Notamacropus eugenii: one gene and its partners. The protein of the gene in region 1 purifies or fractionates together with the protein of each later gene. This does not show direct contact. Links are inferred from orthologs where the notes say so. Each region holds a gene or a part of one and is shown in the gene's direction. Other genes may lie near its edges. The genes, in order: MEPCE, small nuclear ribonucleoprotein-associated protein N, LSM3 and CCNT1.

Evidence for each region.
Region 2: the proteins of MEPCE (region 1) and small nuclear ribonucleoprotein-associated protein N purify together in Homo sapiens (affinity purification with mass spectrometry; 3 studies listed by BioGRID and IntAct, counting the BioPlex papers as one, with this or other methods). This does not show direct contact. The link is inferred for Notamacropus eugenii from reciprocal best matches to the Homo sapiens genes MEPCE and SNRPN.
Region 3: the proteins of MEPCE (region 1) and LSM3 purify together in Homo sapiens (affinity purification with mass spectrometry; 3 studies listed by BioGRID and IntAct, with this or other methods). This does not show direct contact. The link is inferred for Notamacropus eugenii from reciprocal best matches to the Homo sapiens genes MEPCE and LSM3.
Region 4: the proteins of MEPCE (region 1) and CCNT1 purify together in Homo sapiens (affinity purification with mass spectrometry; 3 studies listed by BioGRID and IntAct, with this or other methods). This does not show direct contact. The link is inferred for Notamacropus eugenii from reciprocal best matches to the Homo sapiens genes MEPCE and CCNT1.

What each region holds. Positions count from the first base shown.
Region 1 is NC_092873.1:80,472,975-80,480,080, reverse strand, and holds the start of MEPCE (7SK snRNA methylphosphate capping enzyme), read left to right. Parts: upstream 1-4,098; 5' UTR 4,099-4,194; coding exon 4,195-5,808; intron 5,809-7,106. UniProt on the Homo sapiens protein: S-adenosyl-L-methionine-dependent methyltransferase that adds a methylphosphate cap at the 5'-end of 7SK snRNA (7SK RNA), leading to stabilize it.
Region 2 is NC_092872.1:476,050,264-476,057,808, forward strand, and holds the start of small nuclear ribonucleoprotein-associated protein N, read left to right. Parts: upstream 1-4,525; 5' UTR 4,526-4,739; coding exon 4,740-4,742; intron 4,743-5,805; coding exon 5,806-5,957; intron 5,958-7,545.
Region 3 is NC_092874.1:429,469,178-429,476,659, forward strand, and holds the start of LSM3 (U6 snRNA-associated Sm-like protein LSm3), read left to right. Parts: upstream 1-4,477; 5' UTR 4,478-4,602; coding exon 4,603-4,623; intron 4,624-5,839; coding exon 5,840-5,950; intron 5,951-7,482. Other genes in the region: XPC (DNA repair protein complementing XP-C cells), read right to left, coding at 1-150, 4,207-4,279. UniProt on the Homo sapiens protein: Plays a role in pre-mRNA splicing as component of the U4/U6-U5 tri-snRNP complex that is involved in spliceosome assembly, and as component of the precatalytic spliceosome (spliceosome B complex).
Region 4 is NC_092874.1:220,497,927-220,504,925, reverse strand, and holds the start of CCNT1 (cyclin-T1), read left to right. Parts: upstream 1-3,994; 5' UTR 3,995-4,079; coding exon 4,080-4,231; intron 4,232-6,643; coding exon 6,644-6,725; intron 6,726-6,999. Other genes in the region: SPMIP11 (sperm microtubule inner protein 11), read right to left, coding at 3,809-3,980. UniProt on the Homo sapiens protein: Regulatory subunit of the cyclin-dependent kinase pair (CDK9/cyclin-T1) complex, also called positive transcription elongation factor B (P-TEFb), which facilitates the transition from abortive to productive elongation by phosphorylating the CTD (C-terminal domain) of the large subunit of RNA polymerase II (RNA Pol II).

The sequences.
Region 1 (7,106 bases):
GATGAGGTACAAGCTCTATTCTGATACTTCATCAAAATGTGGAGTTGACCTAAGCTGATGAAGGTTATGTCAGTAGAGTATTAGCTTTGGCAGATTTTATTGAGCAGGAAAAGTTTTGAGTTGTGGTCCCTTCAGCGGACTGAATTTGTTGTATAAGTTAAACATGGTGGGGTTCTAAAATTTTGAGGTCATGGATATTCTATACTACAAAATGGAATGTCAGATTTCATTTTCTCTCTCTCCTCCATTTACCTTTGGACACATTTCATAAGTGGCTACCTACACTTTCAGAGAAACTACCACCTACTCAGTTAAAACCTGGAGAGGAAACACATTCAAGACAGCAAGGAAATAAAGGTTATAGGGCAGAAAACTGATAACAGACTCTAGTAAATCTATCTACTGGGAATGTATTAGGACTTGGTCTTGACTGCCCAAGGAAGCTCCAAAATATGACCAGTCTTCAATTTTTAAATTTTCTATTTAATTAATTTTATTTATTTTTTATTTAAATCTTTTAAAATTTATTTTTAAAAATCTTTTCAATTTAATTTAATTTTTAAAATACTGAACTTAACAAACACCAAATAAAATGAACATTTTGAGCTTACAGAGAACTTCCCTCAGATTGGAAAAACCTTCTTTATTTGGAATCCTGCCTCAGACCCTAGCTGTGTGAGCCACCTAATCTCTCTGGGTTTCAGTTTTCTCAGCCATAAAATTAGGGACTTATATTCCATGACTTCCAGCTCTAAATCTTACGATCCTATGACCATGAACACAACAAGGAGGATGGTACATGAAATTATAAATCTCTATTACAAACGTTTTTTTAAAAATATATAATAAATTCAACATGTAATCTTCAAAACTGTCCTACTTGTCAGTGTTTTCTCCTTCTAGCTTTCTTTCTATTCTTTTCTATTTCAATGACATTTTTCTTTTTGACAAACTAACACTATTTCCACACACCGACAGAAAAACAGTAAAACCCTTATAACACATACATACCAATTTGCAAAACAAATTCCTACATTGACCCTATCTTAAATGTCTAATTCTGTTCATTTACACCATATACATGGTATGTATATACCATGGTTCAGTTCTGTATATATCATATACATGTATGTCTTGTATAAACATAGTTATTTGCACGCTGACTCTCCAAGTAGAATGTATGCTCCTTGACATCAGGGGCTGTTTTTGCTTTTTTTTTCATTCCCAGAGCTTAACACAATGTCTAGTACTCAATAAATGTTTGTTGCCAATTGACTATGACGCAAAATGCTAACCAAGCCTTTTCTCAGTTAATTATGCCTTAAAATCCATTGACATCTCTCCAAATATTGCTTCAAAGGTTTTCCTTCCACTCTCCTTTCCTTAGTGTCACTGCAGCTTTCAAATCAGCAACTGATACTATCCTCACCTCTATATGTATATATGTAAATACATACATAGGTGTTTTTACACGTGTTTGCCTATATTATACGTACATATATACAATCCCCAAAATCTTAGTATAATTTTAAGCTTTAAGGACTAGTATAATACACATCCCTATATATATGTGTGTATACATATGCATATGTGTATATAGATATATGTGGGTGATAATATCTCACATATACATACCTCACCTACCTCCCAGGGCTGTAAGGCTGAGACATTTGCAAAGGGCTCTATAAATACACTATTACTGTCCGAATGCTAGTCAACAGCGTATATATAGCTAGGGTGGACAAAGGTGTTCGACTTGGAGTCAGAAAAATGGAGTTCAAACCCCCCTGAGCCGTTTACCAGCTTGGTCTTCGTCCCTCCTCCGTCAAACTAGGGTAATAAAGCTCTCGTCCTCCCACGGACGTGGCGAGCGGCAAAGCAGGCAGCCTACGTCAAGCGCTCTGCCGCCCGCAAATGCCAGGCTGGCCATCGGGAGGCTGACTTCCTTCGCAGATCCCAGATGCATTTTCCGTCACCCCACGCCCTGCAGCGCCGCCCACGAAGCGCTCCCAGGGTTCGAGGACGGAAAAATCGAATACAAACGCCCCTTTCCTCGCTCGAGATCCAAGTGCAGACGAGCTCTCCCCTCCCCCCTCCCGCCTGGGGTTGGCCGGACTCCTTCCCCACCAGCCTTCAGATCCTGACAGGCCTTTCTTAGGATCAATCATCCCTTCCCGCGAAGTGCTTTGGGGGGGCAGGGGCAGGGCTAAGGGGTGCCTTCGGTCCACCTCCAAATGCTCGGGCGGTCACCGGAGGCGCGCTAAGGCCTCCGTAACAGCCGGGGCTTCAGCTGCTGGCGCCCGGGGCGGGGAGAGAGGGAGGGAAGCCAGGGCTCGCGCCAGGCGTCAGGAACCGGGGGAGCTAAGGTTGGGACTGGGGAAGGAACAAACAACAGGTGGCAACAGCCGGCGAGCTCGCGGTCCCCCACCTCCGTCCGCCTGTCCCACCAAAGAAGAGCCCGGCCGCTCGGGCGCCAGCCCAGTTCTCCGGCGTTCGAACTTCTACCTCACTGAGCACGCGCGGAGACTAGACGGCAAAGGCGAAGCGTTTAAAGCGGAGAGGCGGAAGAGCCTTCGGGAGGCGCATGCCAAGTCTTCCACCCCGGGCGATTACAAAAACTACAATTCCCGGCATACCCCATTCTGCCGTAGTCACAACTTTTAGTTATTAGGAGCAGCGCCTGATTATAATTGGGAGGGTTCTTTTGACATTATGGCTTGTTCTCTGCCCCGGAATGGATAATGTTTTTTTTCCTTTTCCGAATCCTGATTCTAATTCTGTTGCACTTTATCTTTATTTTCCAACGAATTACTGGCCATTAGCCCCTCTCCGGTACCCCTCCCTCTTCGCAGCCCAAGGACCCTTCCCTAAACCCGCCCCCCCGCGAGCTCCTATTGGCCAGTCGATGGGAGGTTACGTTAATCGGGGGCGGTCCAAACAGCTCATTTTCCAATGTGAAGAGGCGCCGAGGCCACGTTCCTTCACGGCAAAGAATCTGCTAAGTGGTGATGGTTACTTTTGATTGGATTGAGGCAAATTAGAGTGGGGGGAGTAGGGAGAAGGGAGACTGTGCGCGCAGGTGCAGTCGGGGTGGCGACGGTGGGCGGGAAAGAATAGAGAGTATCGCGATACCTCCCACCCCTTCCGGCCTTTTTAATTTGGCTAGGAGGCAGGGAAACGGAATAGAGTGAAGAAACCGAGTCGTTCCATTTTAGGGAAAGTCTAAGGCAATCTTTTGGCTATTTCAGCAGAGCTCAGTTTCCTTTCTTTTCTTAGCCGCTTTTCTCTGCCAGGAGAACGTGTGAGAGTTAAGGTGACATCTTGGCACCAATTTTATTCTAGTGACAACAGGTCTTTCGTAGGGATATAGGCCTTTGCACTCCAAACCCCTCCACCATCCATCTCATATTTCCACTTTCCCTTTCCCGCACTCCTAGTGTGTGTGCGTGTGAAGTAATTCATTATTATTAATTTACTGCGCCCCTACCCACTTCTAGGATGCAGCTATGTTCCTCTCTTGGCTGAGGAGGGAAGTCTGTTTAAAGGGATAAGAAACCGACTTTGCAGTCCCGAGCGGTGGGTGAGTGGTAGCTCCCAGCACGTGCAGCGCCAAGAAGCGCGAGACTGATAGGGCGAGTGCGCAGGCGTGGCCCTTTCGAGGAGGAAAGAGGCGGGGTAGAAAGGCAGCAGGGCTAGCAGCCAGGCGGAGGCCGCAGACGTTCAGTCCCAGGAGCCGGGACGGGGTGGAAGGAAGCTCTTCCCATCGGCCCTACGCCGACGGTTGGTGGGCGTGCGCGAAGGATACGGGTGGGAGGGAGATCGTTGCGAAGGAAACGGGGTGTCACTTGGAAGCGGTGGTTCCCTTTTTTAAAAGCCTTTAGCCGTTAAGTTTGTTCTGTCCCTGGTGCGGGCACAACAGGGGGCGTGGGGTGGAGTGCGCACGCGCAGTGTGTCTGGTAGCGCGCGTTAGGAGGGGTGGAGGAAAAAGCGCAGGCTCCGTTGTTTTCTTACTCAGTTCGGGTCTCGCGGGCAGCTTGTTTTGGTCTCGCGCGGGTTAGTGGAGACGCGAGAGAATAAGGGAAGAGCGGGGTTACGCGCGCACTGGGAGAAGGGGCGGGGAGGAAGAGGGGAAAAGGGAGGGGGTGTAGGCCCCCTGATCTCCCTCGTTAGCCTAATCGGGGGAGGGGGGAAGAGATGATCGAGATGGCAGCTGAGAAGGAGCCGTTCCTCGTGCCGGCCCCGCCGCCGCCACCCCTCAAAGCTGATTCCAGCGGTGGCGGTGGCACTCTGGTGCAGCCACACCGAGAGGCCTCCTCCGGGGAGCTTTGTGGCGGGACAGCACAGGGACCAAGCCCACATACGCCCACCATATCAGGCAGGGAGGGCTTTCTGGCCCCGTCCCCCGCTAGGGCTGGCCAGAATCCGCGGCGAAGTGGAGATCCGATGGCGCAGGGGGAGGCCCCTCCCCCTGACATGGAGGAGGAGCGAAGGGGTTGGGGCGGGGCCGAAGTAGGGACCCCAGCACCCCCCAGACAGCGCAATGGCTTCCAGCCCCATAGGCCTCCCGGGACCGGTGGGAACAAGAGGAGGAATAGCTGTAATGTGGGTGGCTTCAAGCATCCAGCCTTCAAGAGGCGTAGGCGAGTTAACTCGGACTGCGACCCGGTCTTGCCTTCCAATTTTCTCTTGGGGGGCAATATCTTCGATCCTTTGAATCTGAATAGCCTCTTGGATGAGGAGGTGAGTCGAGCACTCAATGCTGAGACTCCCAAGTCTTCCCCACTGCCAGCGAAGGGGAGGGACCCTGTGGAAATCCTCATTCCCAAGGACATCACCGACCCACTCAGCCTCAATACCTGCACTGATGAGGCCCAAGTGGTTCGAGCCTCACCACTCAAGACTGGTAGAAAGAGACATCGACATCGTGGACAGCACCACCAGCAACAGACTGGGGGACCGGGGGGGAGTGATCCCACCTCCTCTGCGCTTCCCCCAACTTCCACAACTCCCTCGCTGCATGGAGAAACCACCCCCCAGCAGCTGCAACAACGACAGAGGTCCCAAGGCCGGGATGGCCCCCAGCCTTATGAACTGAACACTGCCATCAACTGTAGGGATGAAGTAGTGTCCCCCCTTCTGCCTGCCCCACAGGACCCCCCAGGCACTCGTGCAGCTCCTTCAGCTGCCTCAACCACACCTGCTCCCTTGTCTTCCTCCCGACATCACCGGAAACGCCGTAGGACTTCCAGCAAGTCTGAGTCAGGTGCCAGGGCTAGTGGCCAGGGCCCTAAGGAGAAAGTCCGGGCGAGAGGCGGGAGTCGCCATCATGACCACCCTCTGCCTGCGGCTGGCTTCAAGAAGCAGCAAAGTAAGTTCCAGTACGGAAATTATTGCAAGTACTACGGCTATCGAAACCCAAATTGTGAGGATGGGAGGCTTCGGGTGATGAGGCCTGAATGGTTCCAGGGCCGTGATGTGCTGGACCTAGGCTGCAATGTGGGCCACCTGACGCTAAGCATTGCTTGCAAGTGGGGCCCGGCTCGAGTAGTGGGTGTAGACATCGATGCCCGGCTCATACACTCTGCTCGACAGAACATCCGACATTATCTATCTGAGGAACTTCGTCTTGCACCTCAACCACCTGAAGGAGCCCAAGGACCAGAGGGTGGAAAGGGGACTGCTGCCACCCGAAAGAAGAGCTGCTTCCCAGCCTCCCTGACTGCCAGTCGGGGCCCCATTGCTGCACCCCAAGTGCCTCTGGATGGGGCTGATGCCTCCATATTTCCCAACAATGTTGTCTTCATCACGGTAAGGAGACCTAGTAGCTGTTGGAGTAAGGGATATTTTTGCAGACTTGTTTACTGTGCCATGACAGGGGAGGGAGGAGAGGTAGTTATGGCTAAGAGCAAAACTATTCTTGCAACTTGGGAACTCACATTTGAAAATGGTCTAGGGCCTGTGCTGATAGGGCCTTGACTTCTCACCTTAATGACTATACCCTGTCTTCCCCATGAATTCAGGGTTCTTGCTTATAGGGCAGTGAGAATGGGATTCCTTTTCCCTGTTACACCCTTTAACTGAGTCTGCTCAACAGACTAGGATTATTCCATTGAGCATTTTAAACCTGCAAAAACTTGACCTTAGAGCTGTCCCAAGAACCATTCTTAGGTGATAGGTATCTGAACTAATGCTTCTTCTGTGTTATCCAGGTTAGATAGACCAGAGAATTCATTGTGCTTTTCCACTGTAGACCTCTGTCTCAACAACCCTTATCTTCATGAGAAAGCTAGAATCCTGCCTGCAGTCAAATTTTCTCCTTTAATGTATTAGTTTGAGTGTTATTGGTTAGAAAACTCGAGTGGATTACCCAGGAGTAAAACAAAAAGGTGTAGGGAAATATTTTAGGGACTTACAGATTTAGCCCTGGAAAGAACTTGTGAGGTCCAAAGGTCCCCTTAGATTAGTCCAACCCTTCCATTTTACAGATGAAATCAAGTGCCCAGAGTAGTTAAGTGCCTTGCACATGGTCACAGGTAGTAAGTATAGTAACTGAACCTTCCAGGTCAAGACCTTCTGTAGAGTAGGGTAAAGGGAACTGACAAGTTTGTGGGGGAGTTTTGCTGTCTTGCTTAGGCTTTGGGGACTGGGATTTTTTTAAATTTTCATTTGGTCTCAACATTTAAGTGCGTAGTTTCTGCCTGGCACCAGGGACATAAAAACAAATTGAACAGTCCTTGAACTCACAAAGCTTATATTCTGCTGAGTTGTGTTAAAATTTAACACTGAAGAAAACTCACTTGAAACTCAAGACTGGGGGGCAGGGAGCAGGGGGGGAGGGGAAAAAGTGGGAAGGATGACAGAGAATGGGGAAAGACTGGAGGGGCTGCCCAAGACCTCATGGGGCAATGCTTTTTTGCCCCAGGGAAAATTGGTGTGGGAGGGAGACAAGTACTGGAACTGGGTCAAGGCTGAACACTAGGGCTTTCTCCCTGTGGTGACCTTGCACATCCCTCTTGATAAAACTAATCAGTTCTGGTGGTTTGTCCATGGTACAGCCTTCTCCCTACTAATTCTTACCTTGTGCTTTCTCTGCTCTGCCAGAGTGA
Region 2 (7,545 bases), on another chromosome or scaffold:
ATTCCTTTGTGCAAAACCATCCACAGCCTTCTCCCTCCCTTTTATGAACTGAATTGGCAAATTTGCATGAAATTTGTGGTCCCTAAGTCATTCTGTAAAACTGGTGAGAGAAGTTTTCTCCCAGTAGCTGCCTCCAGTGATCTTTCTCTTCTCTTAAGTGCTTTTGTATGTATTTTAATTAGCAAATAGGTACGCAGGTAACAAGCATTTATTAAACTTCTTATTATGTGCCAAGTACTGTGGCAAATATAAGTAAAAAATAAAGAGTTCCTGATCCCAAAGGGCTTACATTCTTATAGGTGAAAATAGTATGTAAAAGAAAATGAAAAGGCGGAGGAGAAAAAGTTTCAGGCCATGGTGAAGTCCTTAGAATCACAAGCAGTGCCAATCAATCAATCAATAAACATTTATTAAGCACCTATGTGCCAGGTACTGTGTTAAGATCTAGTAATATAAAAAAGGGGTAAAAATCAATCTCTACTATCAAGAAATTTACAAACTAATGGAAAAGCAAAGCATGGTCATCCTGGGCCATCTTTGAAGCAATGATCCCAGATGGCACTCATCAAGGGGAGAAGCAGGTCATGGGGCCTGCATGGTGGACAGATATTCTTGGCATAAGGTCCCAAAGTGGGCAATATTATCCTCTAGAGGGCACTGGAACGATGGGGGGGGGGGGTGTTTACAGGGGGTGGTAGTATCTTCCGGTGCAATTGGGGAGCATTGAAAAAAATAAGGGTTAATCTAACCTAATGGGGGGGGATGAGTAATTTTTTTTTTAAGTGAGTCATAGGCCAAATAGGTTTGGGAATCTCTGTGAGAAGACCCCAGGAAACCAGAGAACTTCCAAAGTGAGAAGACAAATGAGGCATAGAAGCAAAGTATATAATTAATTAAATAAATTCCTTTAATTAGCAAGTAGCACTTCATATTTCTGCACAACCACACTAGTTGTAAAAGACTTTTCTAAACTATTATATTCATAATTAGAGGTTAAACCACTGGTGAGCAATTTGGAACTATGCTACCAAAACTTCTCAACTTATTGACTCAATGATAACAAAATTTGGCCTATACCCCAAAGATCAAAAAGGACCTAAAAAAAACCCATAGTAGCTCTTTTTCTGGTGGCAAGGAACTTGATACTGAAGGAGTGGCCATTAACTGGGAATGGCAAAACAAATTATGGGTTGAATGTAGCAGAGTACTATTAAGAGTAAGAAATGCTAAAAAAGATGATTTCACAGAAATCTGGGAAGACTAGTATGAACTACTATTATTTAGTGAAGTGAACAGAACCAGAAGAACAAATTATGTAATGATAAAAAACATTGCAAAGATAAACTATTTTGAAAAGCTTAAGGACTCTGATCATGGAAGCAATTAGACATTTAAATACTTACTATGTGCTAGGAACTATACTAAGAGATTTACAGATATTATTTCATTTAATCCTTACAACAAGGGAGGTAGGTGTGGTTATCACCATTTTGAAGCTGGGGACACTGGGGCTGACGGAGGTTAAAAGATTTTCCTGAGATCATACAACTAATAAATATGGAAGTCTAGATTGGAACTGAGGTGTCTCCTGACTCCAATCCACGATTCCACCTAGCTGCCTCAATATTTGATTATCACAGTGATAACCATGATCACAATTCCAAAGTATTGTGACATCTGCTGTCATATGGGAAGTTTCAGGGGCAAGTCAGATGGAAAGGTCCCATGGTCCTTAGGGTGTAACAGCAAAGCAAATTATAATGCCTCTTCTTTCATGGAATTTCCATTGATAAAATCTTATCTGTTTCTGATGTTGAACCATTTGATATTGCCAAGGACTTTGGTAGCAAGGACTTTTCTTTCTGGGTCTTTAGTATTTGTGTCTAGGCTACATAGAGGTTGTTTCCCAGGCTATGGGCAATGACTTGGAAACACTGCTAGTTGCAAAGCTCTTGGACTCAGGATTCTGGGCTGTCTATGTCAAGGTCTGAAGGGAGACATAGATTAAGGTGGCAGTGGTAGTTTGACTTGTTTGGCGTATTCTACCTCCTGTCTCTCCCTTGGGGTGCTAGGTTGGCTCACTTTATCTATGGGGAGAGAAGGAGTCACAGGAGCTTTGAGGAGGGCTGAAAAGGTTTGGAAAAGCTGCTGTGGGATAGTGAATAAATTAAAAAGATATAAAATCATAAAATGTCAAAATGTCAAAAAACGAGATTTGTTTGTTGCAGTGAGGGCCCGGTTGGATTTTGATGGTCTTAAGTCTCAACCTCCTAGGAAAGTATAACAGCAGTTATAGATCCCAAATATTACTTTAAATCTTTCTGTCAATGTAAGCTTGTGAGTCTTGTGTATGTTAAGCATTTCTTTCATACAGAGGAAAAAAATACCTATTTATCCCTGATTTATACTGTACATTGGGTACCTTTCTATTTACTCTACACTTTGGAAGACATGAGCCAAACCTAAGATATATATAATTTTCCCTGGAGTGCCAATGTGGGGACCTAAGGAGTGAAAGAATGAGAAAAGAAAAGTTCAGCCTTTCTTTTAGTTGGTTAGGCTTGCTCAGGATTGAAAATGGGCTGCATAAGCCTGGGTCTAGAACTTAGAGGAGAGGAAGGTGAAGTGCTCCAGTTCGTCTTGGGACTTGAAGCACCGCAAATTGTTAGACATGATTTTCCTAAAAACAGCTTGCAGATTTACAACTTTTATAACAAGCATTAAACTGCTTTCTTGTGCCTTTACGTCCAATGCAAGGATTATATCTTATTTCTTTTGGGTGCTTTGGCACATATATGATTTCTGACAAATACTTGATTAGTCATTCAGTTAAACATTTCTTAAACATTAAGTCAAGCCCCTGGGCTAGGCAATGTGGAAAGAAGGACAAAAATAAGAGTCTCTGCCCTCCAGGAGCTTATATTCTTTACCATACATAGATAAGTAAATGCAATTACATTGAGGAGAGAGTACTGACAACTGGGGACATAAGGGAAGGTTTCACAGAGGAGATGGCAACTGAGCTGAGCCTAAAGTAGGTAGGAATTTGAGAGGGCACCCATGTAGAAGGGATACCTTCATAGATATAATGGGAGGCACTCATGGAGATAGTACATTTCAGTGTTTGGGGACCACTTGTTCATATGGAGCCCTAGGCCAGAGATAGAATGTTTAGTTCAGAGAACACTTAGCAGTCCTGTCTGTCAATCACAAAAAAATGTGTGAAGGAAGAATATAGTGAAACAAAGTTAGGAAGGTTGGTATCAAACTACATCCAAAGAGCTATAGAACTGTGCATACCCTTTGACCCAGAAATATCACTACTAAGTTTGTATCCCAAAGAGCTCAAAGAAAAAAGAAAAAGGACATATCTATATCTATGTATCTATATCTACATGTATATCTATATCCACATACACACAGATATTTATGGCAGCTATTTTAGTGGTGGTGAAGAAATTGGAAATTGATGGTTGCCCATCAATTGGGGAATGAATGCGTAAGTTGAGGTATATGATTGTGATGGAATCCTATTGTGGTAGAAGAAATGAAGAGGAGAAAGCCTTCAGAAAAACCTGGGAAGATTTACATGAACTGGTACAAAGTGAAGCTAGCAGAACTGGAAGAAAATTATACACACAATACTATAACAGCAATACTATATGCTGTTTGACTATGAATGACTTGGCCATTCCAATGAACTCAAAGATCCAAAACAATTCTGAAGGACTTATGATGAAAAATGATATTGACCTCCAGAGGGAGAACTGATGAAATTTGAATACAGATGGAAGCATAATTTTTTAAAACATTTTATGGGTTTTTTTGCTTTTTTTGAAAAGTAGCTTAAAAGGAAATATGTTTCACATTATTTAATATGTGTAATTGCTATCACATAATCTGGCTTCTCAGTGGTTGGGAAAGGGGCAGGAGAGACCTTATTCAGAATTTAAAATTTTAAAAATGTTAAAACTAAATATTAATTTTTAAAAATAGACTATTTTTTAAAGATTGGGGCTCAGATTAAGAGGGGCCTTAAATGAAAAGTTGAGGAGTCTCTATTAAACATTAGGGGGGATAAGAGAATATTGCAGATTTGGGAGTCAGGGAAGAGACAGGCTCAGAACTGTGCCTTGAGATGATTGTGGCAGCTCTGTGAAAGATAATAGTGATAATCAAGGAAACCTTTCCTGATTCCCTTTTATTTGTAGTGCCGTCCCTCTGAGATTCTCTCCAATTTATCCCGTATATAGATTTCTGGCAACCACATAGACTTGGAGGCATCTTCACAATAGAGTGACAGTTCCAAAATCAATATCACCCAGCAATAAACATTTATTAAGTGCTTCCTATGGGTAAGGCACTGCTCTAAGAGTTGGTGATACAAAAAACAAGAAAAAGGAACGAGAGAGTTCCCTTCTTCGGTCCTTCGTAGACAGGGGGCTGGCCGCTGCTGGAGAGCTCCCACAAGAGCTCTCCACTTCGGGAAGCCTCTAGTTCTGGAACGTTCCCAAGAAGCCTTTCTGCTCTGGGGAAAGGGCGCCTGCCCTCACCCAATATGGCGGCTGAGGGAAACAAGGTCGGTCACGTGTCCTCCCCGTTCCAAGGGCTATAGTCTTTTTCGAATTTCCGTTACAGCCGGAAGCTAGGGGGCGGGCACTTTCCTCTGGAGCTCCTCGTGTTTGCGGCCGCCGAAGGGGGCTCCTTTTTCTAAGTCGGGGCACTTCGTAGCCGGCATCATGGTAAGCTTGGGATCTCTGGAAAAACTAGGCCTGGGCTGGGACACAGGCCTGGACGAGTCGGGGACGGGGCCGGGGATCGCGGGGATGGTGAGGACGCTGCCGAAGGCGGGGCCGAGCGACCGGAGGGGTCAGAGGTCAGGGTCCTGCCGGCGGCGGGGGGTGGGTTGGCCGGTTTTCCGTGGTTGAAGTGGCCGAGGTGAAGTCAGACCACACAGATTTATGAAGTCCTTATTCTGTGCTCCGTCTGGCGCTAAACGCTGGAGGTACAAAGAAAGGCAGAAGACGGACCCTGCTCCGCAGGAGCTCACCGTGTGATGGGGGAGACCATAAGCGAGCCGCCGTGTGCGTGCGAGCTCTGTGCAGGCTAAGTGGGAGGTGATCACCGGGGAAGGACTAGCGCTGAGGTCCTTGCAGAAGGGACTTGAAGAAAGCCAGGAAAACTAAAAAAAGATCAGGAGGGAATGAAGGAAGGGCCAGCGAAAATGCCCAGAACAGGGAAATGGGGCGTCTTGTTGAGAAATGGCCAGGGGCGGGGGGGGGGGGCTTAAGGTGAAGAATTTTAAAAGTCTGAGGGCTTTTTATTTGATCCTGGAGGTAACAAGGAACCCCTGGAGTTTACTGGGGGAGGGGCATGCGGGGAGTGGTCAGACCCGCCCTTTAGGAGGCTGACCCGCCAGAAGGCAGCTGGGGGTCAGAGGAGAGAAGGTGGTATAAACCAGAGATGTGGGATACTACTAAGGGGGTCTGAGGTTTGGGGGAGGGTGTGGGGAGGATGACAAGATCATAGAACTGGGTCAGAGATGATGGATCCATTCCTAGGGATTAAGAGCCCAGAGTGTGTTTGTGTGGTGTCAGAATCATATAATTGGGGGAGGTGTAGGCTAGGATGTTTGGGAAAAGATAAAGGGTCAAGACCTCACAGTGGAGAGGAAGCACTGCGGATCTTGGTTCAGAAGAGAAGAGAGAGAGCTGATGGAAAAGGAACAGGGGTAGAAAGAGCGCCTGGCAGTGTTTAGTCAGTCCAGGGTCTGGAGTCAATACTTTTCTCTCTCTGTTTCCACAGACGGTGGGCAAGAGCAGCAAGATGCTGCAGCACATCGACTACAGGATGAGGTGCATCCTGCAGGATGGCCGCATTTTCATCGGCACCTTCAAGGCCTTTGACAAGCACATGAACCTGATCCTGTGTGACTGTGACGAGTTCAGGAAGATCAAGTGAGGAGGGGGATGGTTTGGGAAGCTTGGGATGTGAAGAGGGGAGGGCAGGTAAAGTAGGCTTCTTATACTTACATTCATAAAACTCTTCTCTGTTCTAGTCCTGAACACCATCCCTCTCCCACCCACTGCACTCCAACCTTAGTGGATTTTGAGGAAACATTTATGCCCAGACATATTGTACACTTAGATGTGTACCAGCACACATCACCTGGAAATGATAAAAGGAAGCACAATACAGTGGGAAGAGCTTTGGTCTTGGGATAGATGATAGCTAAATAAAGTATTTATTAAGTTCTTAATATACCAGGTACTGTGCAAGGGAGTCAGGAAATCTAGGTGCTAGATTTCTGCAGGCATATAGCTCTGAGCACCTAGCTCTGTATAAACTGCAACTTTTTGTAGGCATTTATTTCTAGGCCAAGTTTCCCTGTCTATAAAATGAGGACAATAGAGTAAATCAGGCCTTCACAACCTTCAGCCCTTGGGACAGAGCCCATGGGCAACTTGAGGCATGCCAAAGGATTTCCTCTACATACAACAGTTGTTTTTCTCTACGTTTTTCACCGGCTGCTGGAAATCCTTTGTCAGACCAAAGGTTATGCAGGCCTGGACTAGATGATCTTTAAAGTCCTTTCTGACATTAACATTCACAATCCTTCCCCTCATAGAATTTGATCTAGTAATTCTAATGTTCCATCCATGTTCTTTTTTCATTGTTCTAACTCAGGCCCTCTTTGGTTCTGTGGTTCCTAGGAAGTGTGTGTTTTGGAGAGAATACTTAGTTATCTAGAAAGGGGCCCTTCTACTTATTATTTGTTAAACCCGTAGTTTCTGAGTTCCAGATCTTTATTCCCAGCAAACAATGACATTGAATGAAATATGTTCATGTCTTTCTTTTAATATATATTGTTTGATTTTTTTCATTAAGTTCATTTCCAAATATGGTCATTCACCCTTCCGTTCCTCCAGGAACCTTCGTTTGTTACAAAGTATAAAAAGAAACGGGAAAAAAATGTCAGTTCAGCAAAATTACCCAAAGCATAATGAGTTGTTCTTATTTAGTGAGTGAAATGCTTTGAGGTAAATTTACTTCAACTTAGCAAACATTTATGAAGCCTCAGTACTATAAGATCAACAAAAATAGCATCTTATATAATATATATATTTTTCTGTGAGCTTCTCGGTCAGAGGGCTGTGATTCTATGAGGTCATCTTGGGGTGAAGGCTTCTTACACTATAAGGCTTTTAAAGGGGGAGTTGATTTTCACATTTAATAAACGTTAACTGTGTTCTCTGTGTAAGTCACTGTGCTTTGAATTCCAACAAATATAATGATGAATAAAGACTTGGATCCTGTCCCCAGGGAGCTTATAGCCCAATAGGCGGAATGTCAGTTATTCAAACATCTATAATACAATATTTAGAATGTAATTTATGCTAAAAGAGGTATGGAGTACAATTTGAGTGTTTATTAAGATCCTTGTTATCTGAAGTTCTGCTCTGACTCTATATAACGCTGGATTTTAAATTATATCTACTGGTGACTGGCTATGTGACCTTAGACTAGGTCCTTTCAGGACCTAAT
Region 3 (7,482 bases), on another chromosome or scaffold:
GATGCTTTTCATATTTCTTCTTGGCTCTGACTCCTGCCTTCTTTGATGCACCGCCTCGGGGACCCCCAGGGTCACTGCTCTTCTTTTTCCTTTTCCCACTAGCGACTCGGGGGACACGAGTGTTCTTTGGCTTCTGATCTTCAAAGACAGCTGTTTGAGGGAGGAAGGAGAAGGCAAGGGCGCGTGGGGGCGGGGAGGGATTGGTAAGGACAGTCAAACTGCTGCCCTAAATTGTTTCCTTGTCTCTAACCTTTCCCCAGCCCATCACGGTATTTCCACAGCCACAGGGACCCACCTTGTGCACAAGCATTAGACTCCTCGAGGACAGGGACTATCATTTGCCTCTTTTTGCACAGAGCTTAGCACATAGTAGGTGCTCTTAATGTTTATTGATCAATTGAAAAAAACAAGCTGATGCTCATTTCCCTGACATAGGACTGATGACCAAATGTACCAATATTGCTTAGAAGTGCTCAGCACACAGTGCCTGGCACCTAATGGGTGCTCTGTAAACCCGTATTCCCTTCTCTTCATTATCTTCACTCCTTAAACAATCCCCTCCTCCAAACTCCCCTTTTTGTACTGAAGAAGCTGTTTTATTCATCCAAGTTTTCAACACCTGTCCATGCCCCCCCATCAGCCAATCAGTTGTCAAGTCTTGTGAATTCTACTTCCACATCTGTCACATTCATATTTTTTCCATCCTAGTTTGAGGTCTCATCACCTCTCACCGGATTACTTCGGAACTGTTCTCCCTGACCCTACCATCTTTCCTCTCTAATCTATTCTCCATGGGGTTGCCAAATAATTTTCCTAACAAATGGGTGTGACTAGGTCAGGAGAGACAGGTCTGACTCCCCTGCTCAAGAACCTGCAATGGCTCTCTATTGTCTCTAAGATAAAACACAAACTTTTCAGTTTGGCATTAAAACCCTTCACAGTCTGGCTCAAGATGTGCTCCGCATTGGCACCCTTGGGGCATTCTCGATGCCAGCCAAAGTGGCCCACCTGTTGTTCCCTGAACTCAAAATTCTCCCTCTCCCTATCTCGCCTCCTGTAATCTCTCCCTGAGACTCCCCCGGCTTCCTTTGGGTGTGCCTCCTAAGGAAAGCCCTTCCTGACTACTCTAAGCACTTCAGTTCTCCTTAAAGTCCTCGGGTTAGGTGGAGTTTATTTGGGCCAAAGGCACATATCCTTAGGGCAGGGGACTGACTCCCTTCTGTAGGCACACAGCAGATGCCTGCTGAACGAATATGTGTTAAATTAATAAGTTTGAGAAACAGCCTGGGAATGAGGATTTCTACTTCAGGATCTGGCCCTAAGCCACTGGACTAGGTTAGAGGTATTTCAGTCTTTCCATCCTGAAAATAAGGATGTTACCTCTTCCAAAGGTATCAATGACCTCTGAACCATTCTTTGAGTTAGCAAAAGTGACCCTGTGTATGTCATGTCTGCCTCGGGGCTGGAGATAGTCCTGAAAGTGCAGAAAAGCCGTAAGCCCCTCTGTTCTCAGTGATGGTTCCATGGACCAGAAGGACCCCTGACTACAACAGCTACATTGACAGTTGTAAGAAGAACATAAAATCTAGAGAAGAACTGGGAAGCAAACAGAGGCGCCCTGATATGAACAAGAAAATGAAAATGAAGACATTCCGGGGCTGTTGATTTGTGTCTTCTTACTGACAAAAAAAGCACTGCCCTTGTTTACACTTGAGGAGGATGTGGCTGGGATCCCGCTGGGAGCATCTGCTGCTTTTCTGACCGGGGACCAAACTTCTCTAACTGGCAGGACTCAGGGGAGATCTGATCACAGCTCTGAGGACCACTTCCGGTGACTTCTTCCTCAGTCAGACCACAACTCATTCAGAGGAGCCTGACTTAAGTGCTTGTATAGGCTAGGCCTTGGCCACTTCCTTTGTACCCTCAGTGATACAGTGTATTTCTTGTAAGCACTTTGTTTTGTTTTTTTAAAACTGAATTAGAACAGAAATCTAGCATTCTTCTAGAAGGGACAACAGGTCAAATCCTGGCTTGAACACATCCTTGCTCTGAGACAAGAGGCAAACCTACTTAACATCTCTAAACCTGTTTCCTTATTTATAGAATGCATATAAACATAAAATGTATATGCCAGGCTGAATTTCCTACCTCAGAGCTGTCACTATAGTTAGAATTTGTAAGTAAAAATCTCAAAATAAGTGGCACAATTTAAGCTTTGCAAATACTATGCAACATAAGCTTACTGGGGATTCTACATTCTTTGGGGTAATAGAAAATGAACCTGTCATGCTATGGGACAACTTTCCAGATAACTGGCATAGTGTGCCAGGGCTATAAAGGGCCTTAAGATTCATCCAGTTCAACCCTTTTTTTAAAACAAGTAATGACATCTTTCAATCCATACTTTCTACCACTGCAAGATTGATTTTTCTCATATAAAGATACGATCAGGCTGCTGTTCTGTCCCCAAATACTTCAATGACTCCCTATTATGTGCCAAAGTCCAGATTCCCTGGTCTAGTACTCAAGGTCCTGAAGGCTGTGGCACTACTCACTAACTATTCAGCTTTATTTCACAATACTCCTCTCTTCAAACTCTATGCCCCCACCCCCTGCCAAAATGGAGGACTACTCCCCCAATACATTGTTTTTGCTTTTTCCCAACTCTGGAGGTAACTTTTCTCAAACAGTTTCCTACATGTTATTGTCTCCCACCTCCAATCTCAATCTGCAAAAATGCTACATATCTTTCAAGACCTGCATCAAACTTTTCCAGCCTCTAAGAAAAACATTCCTTGATGATGCCTGTTGAAAACGAACTTTCCTTCTTTGGATGTGGCATTTGCTTATGTTTTATTTTGAATTACAATGAACAGAATCATGAATCTCAGAGACTGAAGAGCTGGAACCTCAGTCCAACCTGATCGCATTAGTGTGGAATTTCCCCCTAGCGGAATGTAAATTCCTTCAGGGCCATGACCTTCCCTTCTCTGGGGCTGAGGACACAGAGAACACCTCCTAACAAGTATTTGTGGAACTGAATGAACACTGAGGCTCAGCCATCCTTTAGTGCCTTAATCCAACAATCAGTCAATTGACAACCATTTATATTTAAATGTCAGCTTTGTGCCGGCTCAGGGGCCACAGAAGAAAATATGAAACTGCACCATCTCCTGCGTGAAGCATTTCTTGATCCTCCAAACTGCTGCTGCCCTCCCTCTCAAACAATCTCTTACTTAATAAATCTGGGCATAAATGGGGATGTATTCCTTAAATTTATCTTGACACTGTCCACATTTTTTATACGCACTTGTTGCCTTCTCCATTAGAAGGTACACTGTTCACTTGTAATGCCTGCCTCTAGAACAGGGTCCAGCTTAGTAAAAACCTGTCTGACTGACTTATAATAACGACGATAGCTAACACTTACATAAACACTTACATAATACATGTGTCAGGAACCATGTCACACATTTTTAAATTAATATCTCATTTGACTGATTATCACAACAAGGAGAGGGAGATGCTATTATTACTCCCCACTTTACAAGATAAGGAAACTGAGGCAAACAGCTTAAGTGACTTGCACAAGGTTACACAGCTAGTGTCAGGACTGGTTTGAACTCAATTTTCCTGACTCCAAGCCTAGCACTCTATCCACTGGGCCAAAGGAACTTACACTACACTCTTGGATAGATGAATGGATAAATGGATAGACAGACACAGACACAGATGAGACAGATGGACGGATGGAAGGATGGATGGATAAACGGATACACAGATGCAAATGGGACAGATAGATGGATGGATATGGAGATGGACAGATATTTAGGTGGATGATAAATATTTAAGTAGATGGAGAGATATTCTACTGGATGGGTGGATGAAAAGGACATAAAATGGATAAAGGAATAGCTATTGAGAGATGGTGGATGGAGTGTATATACATATACACAAAAAGAATGCAAAGTAACTTCAGGGAAGGTGGCTTCTGAGCTGTGCTTTGAAGGAAACTCGAGCACCTGAGGGACAGCAGAGATGTAGGGAGTGCATGCCAGGCCTGGGGGACAACCTAGGCAAAGGCTCGGAGGCGGGAGACGGAGCGTCACGTGGGCGGCTCAGCCAGAGTTCTCACCCCCGCCAGTCACACACCCCCCAGCCCGAGGAGACGCCAAGCCCACCGCCCCGCCCGGTCCCCCCACTCACCGGGCTCCGCTTCCTGGGTCCGGGCCTTCTTGGGGCGCCGCTGCTCCTCGCAGGACGCCCGCTTTCGGGCCATGCTGCACGGTCTAGCCCAGGAACAAGCCCGGGCAGCGGCTCAGGCGCGGGGCGGGGGCGGGGCACTAATCCTCCCCGGGCGGCTAAAGCCACGCCCCCTCTCCGACCTCCGCAGACAGACCCGAGGTGGAAGTGAAATCCACTAGGCGAGCGCAGGGAACCGCAAGGAGCAAAGCGTTCCTTACGTACTTCCGGTAACAGCAACCCTTTCTCTGCACGCCTCCCGGGCATTCGTCATCACGTTTGCTCTCGCTGATAGGCTGGCTGCCGCGAGAGCGTATACGTCATCTCGCGAGAAGCGGGAAAAGCAACCGGATTTGAAACATGGCGGACGATGCGGATCAGGTACGTTGCTGGAGAGCCTCCCTTTCCTCTGGGCTATTTCAGGATGCTTTTTGGAGCAGCCCTTTGCTCCTTCTTCCCGGATCCCGTCAAATCTTCCCTCCCCGCCAACCCTACCGAGAAATTCTGTAGTAACGGGGATTCTCTGAAAGTCTTGGGCTCCGAGTGGAGAAAGCCACGCCCTCCTCCGCTTTGTCACTGGCTGGCTGAGCTGTCTGTCACCTTCCGGCTAGCCAGCCGGAGTTTTCATTGGCTAGTCTTCTGGTCGTTGGCTGGACCGCCTCCTCCTGATTTACGGCTCAGCCAGCCAATGAGGGAGGACAAGTCTGTCCTGCCCTCCCTATCCCCGCCCCGAGTCCGCAGCCCTGGGAGGCTTGGCTTTAGCGTCCCAGAAGCCCCTTCCCCTGGCGTGCCCGCGGAGTCCCCCAGCCCACGCCGGTCCAGCCTGCCTCGGGTGGACAGGCTTTCTTGCTCCTTACCTCTCGTCTCCGTCTATTCCTTTGGAAAGCTTCCTTCTGCACGTTTGTAGTGACAAGGGTCTTGGGGGTGCTCGTTAATCATTATGCCCTTTGACCTCCCTCCTAACGATAAGAATAGCATGTGTGAGGGGTTTAGCGTGTGCAAAGCTGATTTTACAAGTGCTGTCTCATGTGATCCTCACAACAACCTGGGGGGGCGTTGTTATCCCCATTTGACCGCTGAGCCGACTCAGGCGGGCAGACGTGCAGTGACTTGCCCAGGGTCACACAGTGAGTGTCTTCCTCCCCAGCTCTTCCCTTCTCATCTGCAAGTCCCTTCCATTTTCAGCTTTAGTTGCCACTTGTCTCTGTATCTAAAGCCCAGCCAGATAAAGGGGACAAATACGTTTTCCCCATCCCACCACTCTTTTACAACCATCAGGCCCTCCGTTGCTGAAAATGTGACATTCTGCACAGCACCCTTAAACGTTTGCTATCTCTGAAGTGTTCTAGCCTGGCTGTGCTGCCTGCCCTGGGAGCCCTAAACAACCTTCAGGTGACAGTACTTTTGCCAGGCTGGCTTCTTGTAAAGAGGAGTTAAGGAATTCATTTTTAATGGAGTAACCTCTTGTAAGCTAGGTCAGGTGGAAACTGTAAGTGAAGAAATAATTGCCTTAGTGTCGGTTCTACAAAGAGCAGGTGGGTAATGTGCTGGAGCTCTTCTGGTGGGTGTGCATCATTGCAGTTTTTGTTTTTAACAGCAACAGACCACCAACACTGTGGAGGAGCCGCTGGATCTCATCAGGCTCAGTCTGGATGAGCGAATTTATGTAAAAATGAGAAATGACCGAGAACTACGAGGAAGATTGCATGTGAGTGAAGCGTTTCGAATCTGGGGCACACTGCAGATGGGGTTTGTGATTTCATCAGTAAAAAAAACTGAAAATGGGGGAACCCCCTCTATCAGTGCAACTCGGTGCCTTCTTTGCCAGCATCACAGAGATGTTAAGTCATTTGCTCGGGTCACAGTAGGTATGTGTGTCTGAGGGGGCACTTAAATCAGTTTCTGAGTCCAAGACCATCTGTCTACCATACTGACCTGTGTCTCAGTAGGCTTTGTAGTTTCCTCTAGAACATAGATCACATTAATGAGATCCACAGGAATTCTTTTCTATTTGACTTTGACACCACTGGTTTAAGGAACTGTGCTGAGGTTACAATATCGTGCCTGCCCCAGGGGGCATCCATTCTACTCGAAGGATCCAACATGTACATCAGTAATTATAAATAAGGTGTGAAGGGAGGCAGCGAGATCAGACCTTGGGTCTATTTTGTGTGGCCTGATGTGTGTGTCCCAAATTCTCTCCCTCATCTAACTGGGAGCAGAAGGGGCTTTTGCTTTTGTCTTTGCATCAGAAGTGTGTAGCACATAACAGGCACTTAAAAGATAATTAATTAGAAGTTAATTACAATATTCTAGAGTATTTGAGGAAGGAGAGAACCTTCGCATGTGAAGATGTCAGGAAACACTTCAGGGGGGGAAGGGATACCTGCTCTGAAAGAAGATGAGAGGTTTTGTTTGCCAATTGAGGGCCTGAGTTTGAATCCTGATTATACCTCTTATACTTGTGTGACTTAAGGCAAGACATTGGAACTTCTCTGGGCCCCATTTTTTTTGTCTATGAAGTGAGGACATTGTACAAGATGACCCCTAAGATTCTTTATGATTCTCAAGTCTTTAAGTTTACTAAGTAAGGAATCAGAAAGGTCAGTTGGTCAGTAAACATTTTTTAAGCACCCACTATGTGCCAGGCATTGTGCTAAGCTCTGGGGATACAAAAAGACCCATCCCTGACCTCAAGGAATTCAGAATCTAAATAGGGAGAAAACAAGCAGACCAGTATGTACAAACAAGCTATTTATACTGGATAAATAGGAAGTAAAAGAGGGAAGTTGCTGGGATTAAGAGGGCTTGGGAAAGGCTTACTGTAGAAGATGGGATTTTAGTTGGGACTTAAAGGATGCTAGAGAGGTCAGAAGGTGGAGCAGAGGAGGAATAGTATTCCAAGCTTGGTGGACAGCCAGGGAGAATGCCCAGAGATGGAGAGTCTTGTTTGTGGAATGTCCAGGAGGCCAGTGTCACAGGATTGAAGAGCACGTGGTGGGGAGTAAGTTGTAAGAAGACTGGAAAGGTGGGAGGGGGCTGATGATAAAGAACTTTGAATGCCAAACAGCATTTTCTATTTGGGGTTGGAGGTAATGGAGCTGTTGGAGTTTATTGAGTACGGGTGATGGTGATGTGGTTGGACCTGTAGGGGAGAGAGAAATAGTGAGGAGTCCAGAATGACTCCTAGGTTGTGAGCCTGGGTATGGGAAGGTAGAAGTGGGGAGGGTTCAGGGGGAA
Region 4 (6,999 bases), on another chromosome or scaffold:
ACCAAGGAAGCATTATTATTAGAAGTTATTATTATTAATAACTTTATATTCAATTTTCATGTCATTTCTTCTTAATCTAAAAATCATTTCCTCTTAAAAACTCTTCAGTAAATTCAATTCTTCCCCCATGATTAGTTAAATAAGAATCTGAGTATCCATTAAGTGAAGAACTTTACACTGACACTTTGAGAAAGATATAAAAGAATTAGAAGTTCTATTTTCTGTCTCCTGGGAGTTTATAATCCTAATGTGGCAAATATACATATATAACTTGGGAGCAATTATCAATTAATATGTCAACAAGTACAGAATGACAAAAGTGCAGTAATGCAAGTGGAGTATAGAATCTAGGAAGACTTCTTATATTTATGTTATATATCTCATGTTTTGAGTTGGATTTTAAAGGAGGCTGTGGACACCAGTGGTAAAGAAGAGGTGGCACGTATCCACAGAGGAGGAATGTGCCTTTAAAGGTAAACAGGAATTAGCAAGTCTGTGCTGGAAAAACAGATTGACTTGGCTAGAATGGAAAGTAAAGAGAAAAATCCAACAGGTATATAAGGTCAGCTCTGTGGCATGGCTTAGGGCAAAGGTGCCAACACAGGCAGATCCCTGTTGTGTTACTTTGGACACTTTTACCCATTAAAAACTCCAAGGACCAGAAAATTCAGATATCCTCAGCTGGGAGAACTGGGCACAATCATCCTAAAGGTGGTGAGACTCTTGTTAGCTGAGTTATCTTGTGCAAGTCTCAACTTCCCTGAACCTCAGTTTTTATCACTGGTAAAATGGTGGTAATGATACTTTCATTACTACCTACAAAGGCAGTTGTTAGAAAAGTACTAAGTAAGAGTTATAAAAGTTATAAAAAGCCACTTACTATTATTACTATTCAGTCCTTCAGCTTTCTCATTCAACAAACATTTCTTGTAGATAGGCTACTGTATGCTATGGGCACTGGGTGGTGGTGTCCTCAAACAGCTCACAGTTTAGTTCAAAAGAGGTTACATACCTACACACAAATATAAACATGCCAAATAAAAGGGCTTCTTCTAAATCCTCATCTTGGACCTCTCATCAGTACTGATAATGCAGGAGCTACTTTCTAGATTTCCAGGGCATTGTCTGTTGGTTCTCCTACTTGTCTGGTTGCTTCTGACCCCCAAATGAGTTACCCTAAGGCTCTATTTTGGGCCCTCATTTTTTCTTTCTACACAACTTTCTCTCTCAGTGATCTCATCAGTTTCCATGGGTTCAATATTATCTCTCTGCAGACAATGAATTCTCAGATCTGTATTTCTTGCTCTTGAACTTCAGTCCCATATCAGCAACTGCTTTTATTGGATATTTCTAAATGGCTGCCCCATTTGCATCTCAAAACTCATTAACTTTCCCCTAAAACCCAACCCTCTTCCTAATTTCCTTATTTCTGTCAAGGGTACCACTATTCTCATTTTTACCCAGATTTGCAACCTGCTACCTCTTACTTAGCCTGGTCCAGAATTTGCTGATCTACTGATTGATCTTCAACTCCTTACCTTCCATCACCTACCCTCCCATATTCATTCAGTTCCCAAGTCTTGCTGATTCTTCTATTACATTTCTTGTGGACATTCCCTTCTCCACTCACGTGGTTGCTACTCTAGTTCAGGCTCTCACCTATTTGTAATAGCCTACTTTTTACTCTCCCAATCTCTCCCTTTCCTCAAATTTCTATTTTTTTCAATCCATTTTTCCAATCTATTCTCTACACAACTTCCAAAGTAATATTCCTAAAACATTAGTCAGGCCATGTCAATCCCCCTTCCCTTGCTGCCCCCTCTCCCTGGCCAGCTCAGTAAGCTCCAGTGGGTTTCCATTACCTTTATGATCAAATGCAATATCCTGTTTGACATTTACAGACCTTCAGATCATGTACTACAGGGCATTCCCTTCCCTGTCACCCTTTTTGGCTAAAGATTGACCACCAGCTAGCTCTATCTCCATCACTGCTGGAGGGAATCCAGAATCCCAGTTTCACTTAACCCCTTATCTATTCCCAGTGGTAGGTAGTAGTCCAGAACCATTGAGGCCCCCTGACCTGCACAGTGGATGTGATCATAGCAAATGAACTGTTAGAATCTTTCCAGTAAGATGGAGGACAAATCCTAGCTCCCCTTCCCCTCCTAAAACTTCTTTATGACTTGTCAACGTACCTTAAATATTCCTGGACATTGCCATCTGCCCATTCATTTTATCCTTAGCACTTCTGGACCTTTCCACTTGCCTTAAAGTTGACTCCCATATTATGCCTCATCTGATTAGAGAATGAGCTCCTTGAGAGCAGAACTGCCTTGACTTTCCATTTGTATTCTCAGTGCTTACACAGTGCTTGGCACATAGGAAACTTAGTAAATCTTTTTCATTCATTCTGCAAGCCAAACTAGCCTTGCTTTACCTGATATGACATTCCATCTCCACTCCCTGTATTGCTGTACAGGTCGCCAAGAAGACCAAATAGGCTCACAAAGAGTTGGGCACTACTTAACAGCAACAATAACTTTCTGAATAGAATGGAGATGAAGGGAACAGAAACCCTTGACTTAAAGCCCCTGTTTCAGTATTTCTGATTGTGCCTGAAAACTGCATAGGATAATGTGAGGAAGCATAAATGTTCAATCACAGGGCTTTCTAGGGGAAAAAATGAAATGATACTTGCACATTTATTCTACATTTCTGCCATCACTTTCTTATGTTTAGACAATTAACAAAACAATGAGATCCCATTTATAGTTTTCCAATGTCTTAAGGTGTAAATACACTGAAATTTTAACAATCAACTCTGGTTCTGGTTGGCTCCAGCACACCCCACCTGATTTTTTTCCTTCTCAAATACGTCATTTTGCTTTCCTGGGCCTGTGGCTAAAGGCGATCATTCAAGTCCCTACTAGATTCTATTCTTAAACCACTTTAAATGACAGATTTGCAAACAAGGCATTTGACAACCTTGGGCCAATCTGGTGAGCTGCACCACGGATCCCTCCAAAAGCATAATGACACATTCCATTTGACATCAGAAAATAAATACCTCTAGATTAAGAAGAATGCCATTTCTTATTATAAACCTGTATTTATAAAAAGCAGCATTCAACACTGTTCATCACCTTGTCCTCTGCCCCAGCTCTGTTAGGAGGGAATACACCCTACCCCAAATCCCGGCATCACTCTCTCAAGGTTTGTACTGTCATTACTAAAATTCACATTTTAAAACATGACCCTACTAGCTCGGCCACTCTTTCCTCCTCTGCCGCATCCATGCGTGGGCCGCGTGGGTGACACGAGCCCGAGACCACTGGGTTCGAATCCCGATTCCACTATGTGGATGACCCGAGTGACCTTCACGAAGAAGAGTTGGATTCCTAAAGCCCTTTCTAGGTTTCAATTCTACAACCCAGAAGGTGCTGACCCACCGCCCTTTTTCTAAAGGACGTCGCTTCCAGGTCCCTTAAGGCCCCCTCGTGCGAAAACCCTCAGGAAAGGGCGGGGCCCCCAACGTGTCATCCTCCAGAGTCCTCAGGTTCCCCGGCTCGCAGTTAACTCGTAGTGGAAAACCATTACAAACAATTAACAATCATCAAGCTAATCCTGACCCTTGCTCGCTCCCTCCCTCCCACATCCGCCTCATTCCCAGCGAGAAAAACTCCACCCTTCTCCCCCCCCCCCCCCCCCCCCCCCCGGGAAGGCGCGAACGCGCCACAACCGTCGCTCCTCCCCAAATTCTTTCTCGCGCGGAGACCCGGACTTGGGGCGGGATCTCCTAACAACCCACCGCTAAACACCACCTCCCGCAGACCTGCGCCCTGGAACCAGCCAATCCACGTGAGGTTATCGCCCTGGTCCGAGGTCGAGGGGAGGAGTTCGGCGGAAGTACCCGCCTCTAGCTCCGCCCCTGCCTCCTTGAGGGGGGGCCCCCCCGGGCCACGGAATCGGATGTGCGTCATCGCGCGCTCGGACGTCTCCCAGCGGATGTACGTCGCTGCGCAGTTGACGCCGGGACGTGCTTGCCGCTGCTGCCGCCGCCACCGCCTGGGTGAAGCACTATGGAGGGAGCTTCGGCCAAGCGCTGGTACTTCACCCGGGAACAGTTGGAAAAGAGCCCGTCCCGTCGCGCCGGCATCGACCCGGACAAAGAACTCTATTGCCGGCAGCAAGCAGCCAATCTCCTTCAGGATATGGGGCAGCGTCTCAACGTGTATCCTTCTCGCCGCGCCGCGGCCTAGCCTCGGGATCGCTCCGCTGGGCCTCGGGTTCTGGATTCGGTCAGGGACTGAGGAACTGGGAGACTGGGAGCGGGGCCTAGCGTCTCTTTCTTTTCGGGGCTCTGGGACCGCTGAGTGGGCCCAGGCTGTCGGCATGGGCAGGATTAGGACACTGTTTCCGTGGGGGGAGGTGAAGTGGAGTCATTTCCCGCTTCACGGCCACCGGCATCTACTCTCAGCGCAGTGAGTGCAGTTCCCGGACTCAGTGTCCTTTCTCGGCCCAGTGTTAGCCTTTTTCCTGACAGCTTTTTTTTTTTTTTTAACTTTGTACGGCCTTCCCGTACTCAGCCTTGGAGAACTGGCCTGCTTCTATCCCAAAGGGGCTAAGAGAAGTGTTTCCAAAGCTTCACCTGCTTTCTACCTTTTGTTGAAGACGTGTCGAAGGGTGAGGCAGGGAGAATGGAGACTCGGATGGGTTGTGGAATTGTTAAGCAGGAATTGCTTACAGTGGTTTACTGGAATTTAACCTCCAAGTGCTTTAGGTAGTGACCTGACTAAGAAACACTGGGGTTTCCTGAATTAACCTTTTCTAGTTTTGTCATTGTGCCTACACTTCCAGTAGTAGAAATGGTCACATAACTGAGTTGGTGATGATCTTCATTTAAACTCAAGACCAAATCTGGACTAACATTTTAGAAAATGTTTGTTGGCTTTAAAGGTTTTTGTTGTTGTTGTTTTTTTATTAATACTATAGCTTATACAAGGACCCTGAGGGTGGATTAAAACAATATTACCTATACTGAATTCCTTTCAGTCTACTGGTACTGATAGATTTGAACTGGATGGTCTAGGATAGAAGTTCTTAACCTGAGATAGATTTCTAGGGGGTCTGGATGAAAAAAAAAATCTTTATTTTCCGTTAAAGCAAATAAAGAGTTTGATCTTGGAGTCAGAGACCTGATTTCAAATTCAACCTCCGGTAGGTGGGAAAAACGGATACACAAAACAAAGAGCCTGGGAGTTTGCTATCTAGTAGGGGAATTTGTGCTTCTGTTATAAGGTTGAACTACATAACTTTAAGTTCTTTGTGCTCCAAGATGTAATTTTAGCGGAGGTAAATACATCAACAACTGCTGCTTGACTTGATACAGAAATTTTTTTTAGTTATCTACATTAACAATTGTTTCATTGGGAGCATTCCTTTGTTCTGGATCAAGATATCTTTGTTGGTGCAAAAAAGTTATAAACTCCTTAAAAACTTATTGTTTAGGATATTAGACATTTCAGTTTGAAAAATTTTCTCCCTTGTAGGGGAATATATCAAAATAGTCAGATGAATGGAACCCACAAAATAAAGGTTATAGAGAATTAGAGGAGGTGAAGATGTGATTCCAGTACTGTGAATCTCTATTTTGATACACATAAAAGACTAGATTCTAAGTTGTTTAAAGCATGGTGATATATATTATATTCAGCAATGAAGTTGCTAGTAACAGTTATTATCTGTGTGTTTGTCAGAGACAAAGATCAACAGTTCCTTCTGCATTGTGCATATGAGGTTCTTGATTGTTTGGCTGGAATCTGTAGTTCTAAAGAAAAAAGGTCAACATCTCTAACTTGCATCCAGGGCCTTCTCCAGTCTTTCTGATCTGTGTCATGCCACTAGGCCCAGATGACTCTGAAGGAGAAAGTGAGGTTGATGATCATAGAGGTGCTGGGGACACCAAGAGACTAAGTGGCTTACCTGTTGTTAAAAAAGCCAAGACTGACTAACTAAGAATAAAAAATCTTATCTGCTACTTCATTGAACAGATATTTGAATTTTACCGTGTACACAGAATCTTGCTAGGCCTTTTGAATGATAGGAAAAAAGTATAAGGTCTTTCTCACCTCAAGCTTGCAGTGTAATATAACTACAATTAACTGAAATAAAAAATTTAAAGAAATACTTTTAGTTTGCCAGTAGACATTGGAAAGACCTGTAAGTCATAGGGTTATTGGTTTATAGCTTGCAAGAATCTTATTGATCACATAAAAGTTCAGCCCCTTCATTTTTGAAAAGAGAAAACAGGGGCCAGAAAGGGGATTCTTAAGATGGCATGAAAAGAGTCAGGAGTGCTTTACTATCCCAGCATTTCATAAATATATCACGTTTGATGCTATGCTTTTATAGGTCTTTAGAGCAGTTTTTCTTTGTTTTATTTTTCCCCCAGGAACACATTGTATAATCCTAACCTAATCTTTCATGTGTACCCAGGACCTGTGATTTCATTGATAGATTATATTTTCATTCAGAAGAAATTATTTTCATACTTTATGGTCTTTGAGAAAGGCAAAAGGTTGTTGTGTTTGTAGGAACTTGGGTCTGTGCCTGTCTTCATTTTCACTTAACTTAGATCTCTTAGCTCCCAACTGACCATCAACACTGCTATTGTGTACATGCACCGATTCTACATGGTCCAGTCTTTTACACAGTTCCATCGGAATGTAAGTATGGTTTTAACAAAGGATGGAGGAGGGAACAGAAACAGGCATTTATTAAGCATGGACTGTGTGCCAGGCACTTGCTAAGTGCTTTATAAATATCTCCTTTGATGTAGAAGTGTAAACAATTGGTACTTACTGTACCTGATCTTATTATTTATCTTTTATATATATATGTGCATATATATATTCTTATATATAAATTATATATTATAATTTGTTATATATTTATACTATAATATATTATTTATAGTATAAATATAATGTATTATGTAAT